2 linked regions of the Alligator mississippiensis genome follow. The protein of the gene in region 1 purifies or fractionates together with the protein of each later gene. This does not show direct contact. Links are inferred from orthologs where the notes say so. Each region holds a gene or a part of one and is shown on either strand. Other genes may lie near its edges.

Region 1 (7,707 bases):
TTCCTTGACTAATCGCTTGAGTGCATCGAGATCAGCTTTCCTAAAGTCTAGCACTTTCTTTGAAGGCTAATATCAGTTTAGATTGAATGGAGTTCCATATAATGTTTGAAAAAGGAAAAACTAATTCAGATACAAGTGGCTCCAGATACTGTAGCCTAGTTTACATCTGGATAATTAATAAGATATGATTAAGCAAACTACATGTCCATTTCTGCTGAGTGCAGGCCAATTTTGGGAGGCTAAGGCTGAGTGCAGACATTAATTTCTACCAGAAGAAATTGCTTATGGTAGAAAAATACCCTGGGAGCTGGACTGTACAAATCTCCCTCAGGCCCGTTGGCTGGAGAACTTCACAGGCAAACTCTCCAGCAAAGGAGCAGTAGAGGGCTACTCCCTGGGCCACCCCTGCCCTTAGGGGAGCCCATTAATTGACAGCCTGCCCTCCCGCTTGCCTGAGAAGGAGACAGGCTATCAAGTGGAAGTTGACCTGCCACAGACAGTCCCAGGAGGGTCCAAGCTCTGAGAAAATGCCCTTCCCCCCCATCTTGCCAATCAGCTGATAGGTAGGAGGGGGACATTCTCCTAGTGCTTTGAGCCCTCCTGCTTCTCCTCTGCAAGAGAACAGCCCTGCTCCTTGCACTCCTTGGGCGCGTCCACACATGTAGTCACGTGCGCTCAAATAAAAGCAATGCAAATTTGAGCCAGGGCTTTTTGCCTCAGCACATGTACCGACATGCACTTGGGTGTGGTGAAAGTTGTGCCACGTGGGGCAATATAACCCTGCCTGGTTCCTCCCAGATCTGTGGCCAGGGGAAGCTAGAGCCTGGGGCCAACACTTGTGCTGGCCCCAGCAGTGTAAAAAGCTGCCCTGTCCTGGCCCCAGCAGTACAAAAAGCTGCCCTGGCAAGTAGCTCAGGAGTATGCTCTCTCAGGAACTTCTGGGGCCTGACCAATTTGTAGCTGGGGACACTACCCCTTGTGCCAGCTGGATTGCTAAAGCAGCCCTGAGAGTTCCCTGTGCCCTCTACCCACTGCAGCAGTCTGGCAGTGGGGGCTGCTGCCTGGCTGTGACCTGCTGCGCAACTGCCAGACCTGGATGGGGACTGCACAGCCAGTAGAGGCATCTGCCCCTCTGGGCCAGCTGCCAGTAGGCTGTGGCTGCAGAGTTGGCCTTTGTGTAGCATTACTGCCATGTGTGCCCCTGCCTGGCCATCTGGGCAGCTATCACACAGATGTTCCCAGTGTGGTGGCCTTTGAACTGTCAAAGCATGTCCTCCTGGCCCCAAATGGCCAGGAGGTGCACCACTTCCAGCTGGGTCTAAGGTGCCAGCTCAGAGCAGGCTCCTCTGCCTGGGTCCTGCCACTTGCCTCCCCAGCAGAAATTCTAGTGTTCCCTATTTGAAAACTGAAGAACCCCTGCTTAAAAAATCCCTAAGTCACTCTGTACAATACCCTGAAATCCATGTTCTTCCACAATTAAAACAAAAGACCACTATATAGAGAGAGAGCAGGAGGCAGAGAGACAAAGAAACAGTGATCAGTTGGGCAATGTTTTATTGATATATCTACAACGTCAAAGCAATTTGGAAGCCTACCAGTATCTCTATCATCATAATAAAATGAATTCTAAATACCTATGTTTTGCTGTTTGCCTTTGATTTTCTTACCATCAGTTTAAGAGAATCAGATAATGTTTTCAGAGGATCTGGGTGCCAGGAATATGTAACTTCTTTTTTCTTTTTCTTTTTCCTTTTCAGCTCTTTTTTGTTCTTATCTTGTGCCAGCTTATTTGGCCCTTCTGTATCACACCTGCCTCTGCTCAATGCTTGAATCAGCTTTTCAGGAGGCAGCACTTGCTGTCTGTAGCTGACAAGAGGTGATCTCCGTGGCAGAATGGATTTTCTGTCTTTTTCTTCTTGTTGGCTCTTTTCTGTGTTCTTTTTTTCCCCCGTCTTTCTTATGTATACTCACCTTACATTTCACTCTAGTCTTTCTTTTCTCTCCTGGCTCTTTCTCTGTGAGGTCCCCCTCCCTTTTCCCGCCATCCTTTCCCTGTAAAGAAATAGCTCTTTCAGTGACTGCGGATTTCTGGAATGTGTGGAGGAAGAGCTTTCCCCCTTTTTCATACTGACTCTGCTCCACCCTTTTAATTCAAAATGCTGAATGAATGAGTGTTCAGAAAGTGGATCTGAGCCTCAGAACTACAATGGGGAGAATCCAGATTGCCAGTATACTTTATAGCATAAAGTACATTTTTATCATGATGTGTTTCTTTATTTCAATTTGGGGAAGTATGCTTATACCAAGTTCTGATGCATATATACGCTTTATCAGTACAAACAGTACAGTCACGTTATTATTTATTTAAGATTTGTTTTCTGTGTTGTACAGCATGCAGACACAGATAGCTGCTTCCACAAAACTTATAATCAACTTGTAGTACTTCTGAATTTTCTGTCTGCTTATGTGGCCTTTGACATAGTTTCTGAGCACCTTACAGCCATGAATGAACATGTTCTCATAGCAGTAGGGCAAGATGAGAGTGCTGTTGCCCATTTAACAAAGAAGTAAATGAGGGACAGAGCATAAGGGACTTGGCAAACGTTACACAGGAAGCCTTTGGCAGAGCTGATAATAAACCAGTTCTTCCTCATACTGGTCTGGTATCATATGGTATCTGGTATCATATCTAGCCATCAAAGCATGAAGACTGGCTTGTGATATTCTGATCTTTCATGCAGGAAATTGCAGAGGTGAATCTGAATAAGTAGAGCACATACTTTTTAGGATTCTGTTAAGTGATACGATTTTGGCCCCTACTATAGACAGTGTTGTCATAGCACAATAGTTTTTAGAAATAAGAAGTACTTGAATATGACATACTTCCTCCCGTGCAGACCTGTGATCCATCACTCAACTACAAGCCTAGAGAATATGGATTTTAATCTAGCCTTTTAACTAATGCCGGTTAATCCTGCTGTGCACTTCACAACATTTACTATTAAGCAAGACTTCATGCTTCTACCTTATGCTTTAACCATCATTCAGAGAAAGCTTTGACCGTTCAGGCAGAGGTGGGAATAGACCTCAGGTAAGTACTACAATGCAGCCCAGTCCTAGCCATGTGCCACAGTTTTTAAAAGCATACCAAATTTGATCCTTCTGTAGTCCACAGTATTGTTTTGTACCATCCTGCAGTAAGTAGCTAGCCCACATATGGAGGCTTACATTTTTGGTTCTATTTCTGTATTCAGTGACTTGATTCTTTAGCTCAAGTGGCAGAGATTAATGCTTTTGCATCCAAAAGTCTGGAGTTCAGTCCCTTAACTAACCCAAATGGGAATGTTCATACTTTAGTTATCTCTTACCACTAAATCCTGGCTGCAATTCCTGCAAGGGCCAACACGTCTCTCAAATGCTTATAATCTGCTGTTTTGTTTCTTTGTGGTTTGGTGTGGTCACCAGAAAGAATATGGGCAGCTTTCTGGGGTTTTGTACCCCGTTAGTCTAACAGCTGCAGATTGTGCTGTAGATCTGAAGCCATCAGATTCAAAAGATAAAAGGAAAAAATATTTATATGAAATCTTGTGTAAGGACCCTTAACCAATTGTACTTAATTTATGTTCAGCAACATCATATTTGGATGTGAATCTATGTGCTAACATGTGTTGTTCCCACCTTTTTAGTGGGAACCGGAGCTTTTAAGAACAGGGTGCGGCAGCGTGTGCACCGCTGTCTGGAAGATGTCCTGTGTCTGCAGAGGACAAGCCCTGCTTCTGTATGAACTCCAGAAAGGTCAGAAATTACATTTAATCCTCAAAGATGGAACATGCAAGCCTTGGCTCCCAGCATCCTGCTGGATTTCCAGGTTTTAGTGAAGTTAGACAAAGAGCAGAAATATGTTGGACCAGGTCCTTTATGTTGGATGTTGACACCTTAAATGTGTTTTCCAGTCAAATTGGAGAAGACAGTTACACTCCTCAAGGCCCTGCCTAGAGCACAGGCAGATTTAGCATTTAACCCCTGACTACCATGCCCTCCCTACAGAATTGGCAAGCCTCTCCTGCCGCCTTTCTCCATCTGTCCGGTGAGGAGTCTGCTCTGAAGCCTGCGGGGCCAGATCTCCCCCGCTTTTGCATCCTCCTTCTCGCTGCGGGGCTCCAAGAGCTGCCAGGTCGGGGTGTCAATCCGGGCAGCTGGAGTAAGAAGTGGCTCCTCGTGCCCACGCGCCTGCCAGGGCCGCCTGCCGCCCGCACGAGCCTTGCCGGAAGGCAGCTGTCCTGGGAGCCTGCACCCTGGCTCCCTCGGCCTGCGCCAGGAGCTGCACCTCACCGGGCGGGGTCGGGTCGGGCTGAGGAAAGCGCCCGGCCGCCGGCGCGCCCGGAACAATAGCGGGGCCGGGGCTCCGGCCGCCGGGGGCTGAAGCCCGGCAGCAGCCGAGCGGGCGGGCGGGCGGGGGAGGAGCCGGGCCGGGGCCGGATTGGCAGCAGGCGGCGTGATGCCACGTCCGGCGGGGGAAGCCCTGCCTCGCGGCGAGCCGTGCAGGTGGCGCCGGGTGAGCCCCGCCGGCACACAGCGGCGGCCCCGCGGGATGCGCGCCCCGCCCCCGCGCTAGCGCCCGCCCCGCCCCGCCCCGCCCCGCGGCATCGGCTCCGGCCGCGCTGCCCCCGCCCCGCCCCGCCCCGCCCCGCCAGCCGGGCCCCGGGGCGGCGGGAGCAGGGATGCGCGGGGGAGGTGGAGCTGAGCGCCGCGTCGTGTGAGCGCGCCCAGCCCAGCCCAGCCCAGCCCAGCCCCAGCCGGGGGCAGCGGCGGCGGCAGCGGCGGCGGGACCTTGGGCTCGTCCTTCGCGCGGCGGGGCCGGGAGCGGGGCGCAGCGGCCGAGGATGCATCTCTTCCCGTGGGGATTGTGGCTGCTGTGCGTCGCGTCCTCCTCGGCTCGGGGCGACAGCGGCGGCAAAGCCAAGAGCTGCGCCGAGCTCCGGCAGCTCTATGGGAGCAAAGGGTTCAGCCTGAGCGGGGTCCCCCAGGCGGAGATCTCCGGTGAGTAGCGCCGAGCCGCGGCTTTGTCCTGGCTGGAGGAGACCCCCCCCCCCCAAACCCACAGGGTCTCGAGCAACCCCTCCCTCCCTCCCTCCCTCCCCTGACTCGGAGGCAGCGGTCCGCAGCCCCTGGGCCGGGGACCCGTCTGGGTGAGAGCCGCCTTATCCGCATCCACCGCTGCCCTGAAGTTGGGATCTGCTGGACGGGAACTTGGGCTGGTTTTCAGGTGCGGAGGAGAGAGGAAGGATGGAGGGTTAGGGACCACTCCTCCCCTCCCCCCCTCCTTAATTAAAAGTCCTACCTTCCATCTCTCCCCCGAGCTGGACCCCCAAAGTCACCTCGGCCATTGTCATGGTCCCGGGTAGCGGGTGTTTCTCTGGTGCCAACCGGGGTGTGTGACGGTTCACAGATATCAGGTGGCTGACTAGTGGGGGGGGGGATATAGCAGACCCTCTTTGTCTTGCTCCTCCAGTGGCAGCGATGTGGGGGATTCAGCTCAGACGGTCAGGATCAAGCAGGTTTCATGTCAACGCTAGAAAACGCCACAGGGTTATAAAGAGAACAGTACTGATTTTTCCTGTCCTCTTTTTGGATTGGAAACAAATGCATGAGCAGCACTTGTCAGCTGTGTAAAATGAAGCCGAAGTGAAATGACTCTTTGTCAGGTGTTCGAAAGGCAGCGGTAACCTCAGCCACCCACATCAGCATGTATTCCTGTTACCTGACTACTATCTATACAGAGGGCCAACACGATTTGATTTGATTTTTTTTTTTTTAAACAAATGCACAGTGTTTTTTGTTTCCCTTTCAGAAGGGATCTGAAATAGAAAAAGAGAGACTATAGAAAGGTCTCATGTAGGGTTTTACAAAGCCTGGGAAAAATCTGCTGAGATTTCACGCATGCCTCTTCTTTATTTCTTAAAAGTTTTTTTTTCTACGTTCTGATTCATCAGCTTGTGACCCATATCTAGGAGCTTTTTTGCTCACTTGTGGGAGCTTCCCAGTTTAGACAAAGCGTAAGGCATGCAGGCGTACGTGCCAAAGCCAACCTACGGGGACATCCCAGCAAAATTGTAGTTTGTAGTTCATTTCTGAGTGGTGGAATTTCTTATGCTGAATACTTTATAGCGTAGTTTTACAGCAAATGTCTTCATTATCTGCCCTGAAAATGGAGGAGGTTGATCTTCAGCTCAAGTAAATGGCATATAAATGTGAACAAATGATTATTTTCTTTATTAAGTAGGAACCAAAGGGAGATTTTCAAGTACAATAGGAAGGTCCTGTGGAGAATTTAAAAATCCTTTAAATGGGAGCTCCTTAAAAATGAATTCAGTTAAGCAAAAACATCACTTCTTTGTTCTTGATTATTCCGTGTATCTGTAAGCAATGGCTTAAACATGTCAAACAACTGTGAAGTTTTTTCAAGGGAGTTGAACACTTAAATATTGTCATGTGGAGGTGGATAAGGTGCCAAATGGAATGATAGTACCGTAGGATTCAATATCAGTTGTATTTTGTGATTGTGAGAAATGCATTGCATCAGATACAAATATCACATATCTCTGGGTCCAAGACATATAAAACTTATTGTGTCTAGAAAATGCTGAGTTTAGTAAAGATATAATGGAGGAGAGAGATGTTTAGGAGCTACATTTATTATCTCTTAAACGCTAGCACGCTTGCAGGCTCAAACAACAGTAGCTGAAATAATGTAGTGTCAAACTGCTTGTCTGTGACTATATGTTATGATTAATAGTGATGGTGATAAATATGGTCTTCTAATCAGATATATATTCTTATGAGAATTTATTTAATGAACTGTAGATAGGACCAGGGAAAAGAATCTATCCACACAAATATGCTGCTGCCAATACTCCCAGCTTTTGTACTGAAACATCAAAACGATGAACACAGTCATACATGCCTGAAACTGATAAGTATTTCGAAATTTCCATCTGTGTAGCTTTAATATCCATCCAGTTGAGATAAAACATCAATGTATTTTGCTACAAATATGCTTATGTATGGGAAATGTTATTTGACACATGGTAATATACTGTATTTGCTTCTGATTTGTTGACTATCACTGTGTATAAGATGTTTGGTCTATATTTAATAAAAATATGGTAGTAGTTGAGAAGAAACCACTTCATAGCATCCCCAAATGTACTGAGTATAATACCATTCTACACTTGTGAACAGCTCAGTTTGTTAAGCAACCCAATTTTGTTGGCACTTTGAATGGTCACTTAACACCACTTGTTCTGTATTTAGTTCATCTTGGTGACCAAGAGGGCCATAATCCATATGGCAGAACCTGCGTCAGATTAAGATTCCAGTCACGTCTAGAAATGTCTACACATCAACAAACAGCAGGAGCAGCATTAGTTAAGTAAAAAGAAAAATGCTGATTAAGATAGTTCAGTAACAAGCAGCCTAGTTCTACTTTGACCTGTGAGGTGATTTGAGGAAGCCGTTTCCTAGTGCTACCCATGCACATTGTTAGAAGGAGTGGAGAGCACCGGTTTTCCAGCCTTCCTTGTTCACTTTGTTTTCCCACTTCAGTTATCCTTTATTTCTTCCTTCCTATCCCACTTTCTCTCCCATTTTCCTCCCTCAGCAAAGTGAGAACTCACTTTATTAGCATCGTTCCCTGCCTCCAAGAAT
Region 2 (7,659 bases), on another chromosome or scaffold:
TGCACTGTAAGGTGACACAATACAGCATCATTTGCCTGACTAGTGTCAGAAGCTATCCTGGACAAGAGAGTAATGCAAAAGTCAATGGGACAGCTTCCAGTTGCAGTCTGGCCAAGAATCTTATTTAAGACACGGGACAGTACAAAGGGATCGTATTTAGAAGCCACCAGAGAAGGGGCATGGTACATGAAAGCAGCTTAGCTCTAGCTCTAGCTGGGGTTGCAGCAAGCAAAGGTTCATGTAAGAGAACGGTGTAGTGCACTTGTATTATGAAAGGGGGTTAATTTGAGGAGAGCAAGGGCAGGCAGGAGCCACTTCCCAGCTCAGAGCCTCTGGGCTCTAAAATTCAGAGGTCTTTAGACACTGAAAAAACCCCCTCAGGGTTAAAGCAATTGTTTCAGTGAAATAACATGCAACACTATCCTCAGTAAACATTTTGAGGGCTTAATTACACAGACCTACACTGAAGCCTGAGCATCCTTTTCAGAGCAGATCAGACTTCATACCTAATGCCACAAGCCTGTCCTTGCCAGAGGCAAGCTCTTGGGAGACAGGAAGCCCAGGCATAAGTACGGAGCCTAGGCCCTTCCAGCTCATCCTCTTTGTCCAAATGTCCCACTGGAGCCGCACGGTCCACGCTCTAGCCCAAGTCCCTCTTCCAAGCTGTGACTAGAGCCTTCTCTACCCCTACGGCGTCTCCGCAACTGTTACTAAGAGCTGAAGGGAAGTCCTTATCTCACCCAGGGCTTTCTATATAGGCCCTGCCAGTCACCTATGCCTATGTCAGAGCCAACAAACCGGATTTGTTCCCTACTTAAAAAAGGAAGAGACAAGAGATACTTAAACTGTCATCTACCCAAACAATAATCAAACCGGTTTCACTTTCAGGATCCTGACGTTGAGTTGAAAGGACTTAGGGAAAAATCAGTTCCAAAAACATGGGTTTTTGTTTGCCTAATTAACAATGTATGTTGATGTTCATTAGTTTTAAAAAGACAGGGACAGAGGGAAAACCTCTGCTGTGTTTATCTACATGGGAAGCACCTGGGGAAGGGGAGGTAGTTTGTAAATGCATTCTTCTCAAAGAGACCCACTGAAGTTTTTGGTGCTTTCACCTTACCTGCTGCTTGTAACTGGGGGGAGCAGCTGAGTGATCTTGCAGCTGAAATAAAGAGAAAACGTATAAAATTTTCCAGTCTTCAGGCAAAACAATTACTGGAAGTTACCTGCACTCTTTAACAACTGCTGGGTCTTTTCTTACTTCCGTTTCAAGTAACCAAAAGCAGCTGCAGGTAAGCATTCGGCAAAAAGGTGGGTTTTTTCAGTTGACTGCACGTTCAACAGCATGTTACGTATAACCAACACACGTGCTATTTTCACAGCAAGAAGGTAAGAAAACTGCATGTTAAAAGCAGAAAGAACCAGAACTCGTGGTAAAGGTGATATCTTTTACTAGACTAACTAGAGGTTTGCAAAAAAAATTCTTTATTTGCAAGCTTTCAGACACAAGCACACTTCTTCAAGCCTAGGAGAAAAGATTGTAAAAGTTCTCCTAGGCAGAAATGAATATAAAAGCAGCATTTTTTTTTTCCTAATCACTCGTTAGCATGAGACTTGGATGCAGGGATCGTTCCCGAGTCCACCTGAAACCCACTTCTTCAGAATAACTAGATGTTTGCATCTCTTTGGGTTGCATCTATTCGATTGGTAATAAACAGAAAGATGCTTACAGAGTCCAACAGCCCACGGTGAGGCAGAAGGGAGGCTTCGGATCGCACGGGTCAGCATGGAAGTCATTTTGATATCTACAACCAATGGTAAGGGGAGAGAGAAAAAAAAAAGATGAAAGTCGGCCTTGGCTGGTTTGCTCGGGGAGATTTCGGGGCGGGCAATCTGCTCGGGCCACGCAGCCGGCGAAAAAGGAGACGCGAGAACCCACGTCAAGGTCACGCTGGTGCGCTAGGGCCGGGCCCGTCTTTCCGGTGCGTTTCTGAGCAGCCCCGTGCGCAGCGCGGACTACGGACGTGTAAGTAAACCTGCCTTCCCCACACCCAGCCAAGGCATTTTAGCGACCCCTTTTACTGCTCCGCCCAACTAGATCTGCTTCCCGCTCCCAGCCCTGTTCCCCTGCCCCATCGGCTGCTCTGCTTTCCGCTCCCCACCCTGCGCTCTCGGTCCAATCCAATACTCTGCTTTCCGCTCCCCGCCCTGCGCTCTCGGTCCAATCCAATACTCTGCTTTCCGCTCCCCGCCCTGCGCTCTCGGTCCAATCCAATACTCTGCTTTCCGCTCCCCACCCTGTGCTCTAGGTCCAATCCACTACTCTGCTTTCCACTCCCCGCCCTGTGCTCTCGGTCCAATCCACTACTCTGCTTTCTGCTCCCCGCCCTGCGCTCTCGGTCCAATCCACTACTCTGCTTTCCGCTCCCCGCCCTGTGCTCTCGGTCCAATCCACTACTCTGCTTTCCGCTCCCCGCCCTGTGCTCTCAGTCCAATCCACTACTCTGCTTTCCGCTCCCCGCCCTGTGCTCTCGGTCCAATCCACTACTCTGCTTTCTGCTCCCCGCCCTGCGCTCTCGGTCCAATCCACTACTCTGCTTTCCGCTCCCCGCCCTGTGCTCTCGGTCCAATCCACTACTCTGCTTTCCGCTCCCCGCCCTGTGCTCTCGGTCCAATCCACTACTCTGCTTTCTGCTCCCCGCCCTGTGCTCTCGGTCCAATCCACTACTCTGCTTTCTGCTCCCAGCCCCGCGCTCCTGCCCCATCGGCTGCTCTGCTTTCCGCTCCCCACCATGTGCTCTCAGTCCAATTCACTACTCTGCTTTCCGCTCCCAGCCCCGCGCTCCTGCCCCATCGGCTGCTCTGCTTTCCACTCCCCACCATGTGCTCTCAGTCCAATCCACTACTCTGCTTTCCGCTCCCAGCCCTGTGCTCCTGCCCCATCGGCTGCTCTGCTCTCCGCTACCTGCCCACTCCCCTGCTCCGCTTTCCGCTCCCTGCCCCCTCGCACCCCCATTCCGCCCGTGTCACTTGTGCCCCCCCCAACATAACAGCCCTCCCCGCCTGACGCCCCCAGGCCCCTCGGGGTCGCCATGGAGACGGGGGCGCCCCACGTCACGTCACGCGCCCGCACCCACCTCCTGCCCCAGCGCCGTCTCCCCGCGCCCGCAAGCCCCGCCCCTGCCCCCGGCCCCCCGCCAGGGAGGACCCCGCGCCACCAGCCCTCATAGCTGCCCCTTGCGCTGCCTGATGCCAGCCGCCGCCTCCTCCGCCCGGCGGGCACGGGCCAGTTGCGGGGGAGGGGCTCGCGGGGGCTTTCGAGGGCGGCGGCGGCGAATCAGGCACCGCCAGGGCAGCCCGGGGGCGCGACGGCGTCGAGAAAGGCCCCCGCGAGGGGCAGGGTGGCCGCGTCTGACCTCCCTGCGCAAGATGGCGGCGGCGGTGCGCGCCATGGGCAGCCTCGCGCGGATCCCGGCCGCCGCCCGCCCCGGCCTCTGCCCCCGCGCCCTGCGCCTCCTCCGCGGTGAGCGCCGGCTCATCAGGATTTGTGACTAATTTGTGCGATTAACGATTAAGATGATTAATTCCCGTGATGGATGAGGCTCCGGGGGTTGATGGAGAGGGGGAGGGCAGCGCCCATGACTGAGTAGGATTCGGGGGGGCAGCGCCCGTGATCAGCGCTTGATTTCTGTGATTCGCGGGCTGAAGGTGAACCCCACTCGTAATCGCAGGGATTCGCTTTTCGAGTCGCGGTCGCGCCCTGCGTTGCGTTATGATTTGCGGCTAATCGCTGCGTTTCGACGATGATTTGCGATTAATTTCCTGCGGCGGTCCGGTGCGGGCGCAGCGATGCTCGTGCTGTGCTGTGGGGGGCACCCCCCCCCCCGCTTTCCTTCCCCTCCCCCCTCCCCCGCTCCCTCCATGTGTTGCGGGGGTTGAAGCCTCCCCCAGAGCGTCCCCTTCCCGGTTCAGGTGCGTGGGGCTCGTTGGGGTCAGCGTCTCACACTGCCCCCCCCCCCCCAGATATCAATAGACCCACTCCCTCCTTTTCCAAAGGAGTTTTTCACCTTGGGGAGGGGGACAGGAACGAGGGGGAGGCGTTTCCTTGGGGCTGAACGACGAGCAAATTCCTGCTTCTTGACTTCGTAGCGCGGGAAGGCAACTTCGGCGACCAGCACGTGAGTGTGTCTGCAGAGAAGCGTCAGGTCCGTGGCAGCCAGAGCTCTCTGTGGGCGTCTCTCCAGTCAAACAGAAGAGCAAAGCTTATGATGCTTAAATCGAATGGCTTAATCTCAGGGTCAAAACGAACTACATTCGGTATATTCGCTTGCCGCTGATGAGAGATCACCGGTTTCCTTGGGCTTTTTAACCTGGGGGCTGCGTCTTTACAGTGGGACGTGTTGCTTTGTCTCGTGCTGGTTGTTCCAGTTCTTGGTGTCTGTTTGCGTCGGTGCCAGAGGCCGGTCAGCGCTCATCCTTGGCTGGTCGCGGGATGCGATCGTTGGAGGGAGGTTTTTTACTCCCGGTACGTGAAAAGTTGTGTCGTACAAAGGGACCTGGGTTTTGAAACAGCGTTACAGCTCTAAATCAATCTAAATGTCTGTGACCATGCAAACTATGGCAAGGAGCGCTAAAAAATAATGTGATGGGTGAATTGGCAGAAGCCGTATTGTATACTTGCATTTTTATTTTTTGCTTGTAGAGTCCTTGTTCTGATTGTTAATGCTGCCCCTTAAAATATGTAATGTTTCACCTTTACTTTCCCCCCACCACCACGATCATAGGAAAGTAGGGCTAGTAGAGACCTCGCAAGGTCATCTCGTCCACCTCCCAACTCAAGGCTGGGCTATCCCTGACCAAACCATCCCAGCCAAGTGCCTGTCCAACTTGCTTTTAAATATTTCCAGGGATGGAGACACCACAGTTTCCCCAAGTAACCTGTTCCAGTGCTTGACCACTCTCGGTCAAAAACGTTCCTCCAAATCTCCAACCTAAATTTCCTCTGCTGCAGCTTGAGGCCATTGCTCCTAGTCCATAAGGGGGATGGAAGTTTTGTCTGGAAATTGTTCTTTGTTCTTCAGATGTTTCCCCCCCCCCCACCCCCCCGTCAGTCTTTGCCCAATAAAAGGTTCAAGATTTGTAAGGGTAGGCAAAACACCAAAAAGAGCCGCTGATGTGATGAAAGCCGCGTGGACTTTGGATCCATCCTCTCACACCCCAGTTGCAAACAGACGGTTCCTTGACGGTCCTGTATCTCGCATCTCTTGGTGTTTCAAGTGCAGCTGTGTGTGTAAGCAGCCCCCAGGAGCAGGGCTGCAAGTTTAGACAACAGCCCGCCATGCTAAGCATCAGTTTTCGTACTCCCTTCATACTCAGAGTAGCTCCAGAACTTCAAGTGGGATCCTGTGACCCCAGGTGACTTCCTGCCCTGGGGGCAGGGGACTGCACACAAAGATCTTCCGAGGTCCCTTCTAGCCCTAATGTCTATGAAATGGTCTTGTCCTGTAGAGCCACGGAGAGAGGCTGTTTCCACCTCAAGCAGCATGAAGTCCATGCGACTTAGGAGGCCTGAGTGGGGAAGTGTGGAAAGAGAGACAGTGCAAAGCAAATAAAATAGGGCAGAAAATTTAAAAATGAAACAAAATGACAGACCATTCTATTAGGGTAAATGGGATGTTGCTCATTCTGTAGTTTATTACAGGTGGTGCCTCACCAAATAGGCACAATCCTACTTTGAAATGAGTGTGTGGACTCAGCGCTGTCCGAACTCTGATTTGTGCCCTCTAATTAGTAATTTACAAGATGGGTAGCAAGTTTTCCCTCCCTAGTTCCTGTGTGCCTCAGTCTCCCCGTCAATGGGACCTTTTATGTTCAGAACCAAGTAACAGCCTGAGATCTGCATCTGTCTCTGCTTTGTGCCATTTCTGATAGGTTTTTCTGTGCCATCAAAATTTTAGTTAACTGTACTGAGAAACTCCTGCCCCAAGAGCTTGCAATCTGTTTAAATAGCCAGCGTACAGAGGAATTGGCTGTGGTGACATGTATGGTGTCTTGTTCCAGATTTTTGGCTTTGTACCTTCTTACTGAAACTTGAAGGGAAAGTGAGAATGGGAAGCATGCGTCTTTTAAGAAAAGCTTATAAGGGGCAGCGGCAAATGTCTATTAGACCGTTGAAATGGCAGAAGATTGGTTCATCTCTTCAGTTATTTATCTACTTTTCAATCGAGTCTTTTTTCTTTTGAAATGTAGCTACATCTTAGAAATGTAGCTGTATTTGGTGAAGTCTGGAACGCTGCCGTATGTCATCGTGCAGACGTTTCATACTCCATATAACAGTGCACCTGTTTATGGCTCCTGTTATATTGCTGCCCTTCCTGTACTAAGGTTGACCTTAACACAGGCCCTCATATGAGGGTAGGAGGGGAATTGCTACCTGTTGTCCTTTGGTCAGCAGGAGTCAATATTTTTCCTTGCCCATCTCTTGTTGTGCCTACAATGGGGCACTCTGTGGGCCCAAGTGAGGATATGCTACAAGGCAGCTCACAGCTGCCCTTCTCTTAGGTATACACTGCCAAAGTGACACAAATCGGGGCTGCATTTTTAGCTGAATGGCAAATGGATCCCTTCGTTCTCACACCTGCTCTCTAAGTTGGCTGCGTCTGGGGTGATGCTAGTCATGTGAATGCTTTGCTTTTTGGAGATGAGGTGATTTCTAGGTGATAAGTCTGTGAGCTTCTCTTAGAAGCTTAAGGATATCAAAGGTTGCACAGAGCGCTTACGATCTAGACCTCCTTCTTGGCCAAAAATCTTCTGAAAGAGCAGTCTGAAGGTGTGAACTGGTTGCTAAGTGTCTTTATCAAATGGTGCTGGGAGCACATCACTCCCACCCTTTCAGGAAGGAGGCTGCCAAATCTAAATGTGGCACACACTTTCCATCCCCGCAAAGCAGTTTCTCCTCCATGCATCCTGCGCACGCTGGAATGTGGGGCAGAGTTCACGTCCTCTCCCGTTGCAGGAGACACAGCAGAATGTAGGCCAAAGTGCACTCATCGCTTTCAGCGATGAGCCAAGATCACGTGGCTGGGGGTGGAGGAAGAGCCCAGCTGCAAAGCAAAGTGCAGGATACGTGTTCTGCTTATCTGAGCATGTAGGCTGATTGCTGATGCCTCATTGATTGCTGCTCCCTCTTCTGGGAAATCACTTGCCTCTGGAAAAGCCACAGCCCAAAGGATCTTGCTCATGCTCAATATATAAGCTTCTGTAGTAGCTGTGAGTGCAGGAGTTTATGCTTCCCATCCAGTGCATTTGCAGCATGCTAGTTGGGGAGCAGCATTTTTATTAGTGTTGAGGTCTGTGGCTCTCAGGCCCAGGAGAAGCATGTGTCGGCTGCAGTGGCTACTGGTAGTCCTGACCTGCTCTTGAGAGAGCTTCTTGGTGAAAGCTGAACAGAAGCAGGTGGGATTTCAGCAGCGATGGATGTTGTGGGTAGATGCTAAAAGGAAACAGCCTCTCTCCGTGGCTCTACAGGAGGAATGGCTCTACAGGAGCAGCCATTTAGGCTGTTTCCACCTCAAGCAGCATGAAGTCTATGCGACTTAGGAGGTCTGAGTGGGGAAGTCGTGGTGGATGGGTCGGTTTCGACCTGGAAGGGTGTGGGCA

What was found.
Region 2: the proteins of GPC1 (region 1) and HADHB purify together in Homo sapiens (co-immunoprecipitation; 3 studies listed by BioGRID and IntAct, counting the BioPlex papers as one, with this or other methods). This does not show direct contact. The link is inferred for Alligator mississippiensis from reciprocal best matches to the Homo sapiens genes GPC1 and HADHB.

The regions. Positions count from the first base shown.
Region 1 is NC_081830.1:42,557,029-42,564,735, reverse strand, and holds the start of GPC1 (glypican-1), read left to right. Parts: upstream 1-4,701; 5' UTR 4,702-4,883; coding exon 4,884-5,040; intron 5,041-7,707. UniProt on the Homo sapiens protein: Cell surface proteoglycan that bears heparan sulfate. Binds, via the heparan sulfate side chains, alpha-4 (V) collagen and participates in Schwann cell myelination.
Region 2 is NC_081824.1:1,490,629-1,498,287, reverse strand, and holds the start of HADHB (trifunctional enzyme subunit beta, mitochondrial), read right to left. Parts: upstream 3,237-7,659; 5' UTR 3,229-3,236; coding exon 3,138-3,228; intron 1,806-3,137; coding exon 1,731-1,805; intron 1,163-1,730; coding exon 1,121-1,162; intron 1-1,120. Other genes in the region: HADHA (trifunctional enzyme subunit alpha, mitochondrial), read left to right, coding at 3,430-3,523. UniProt on the Homo sapiens protein: Mitochondrial trifunctional enzyme catalyzes the last three of the four reactions of the mitochondrial beta-oxidation pathway.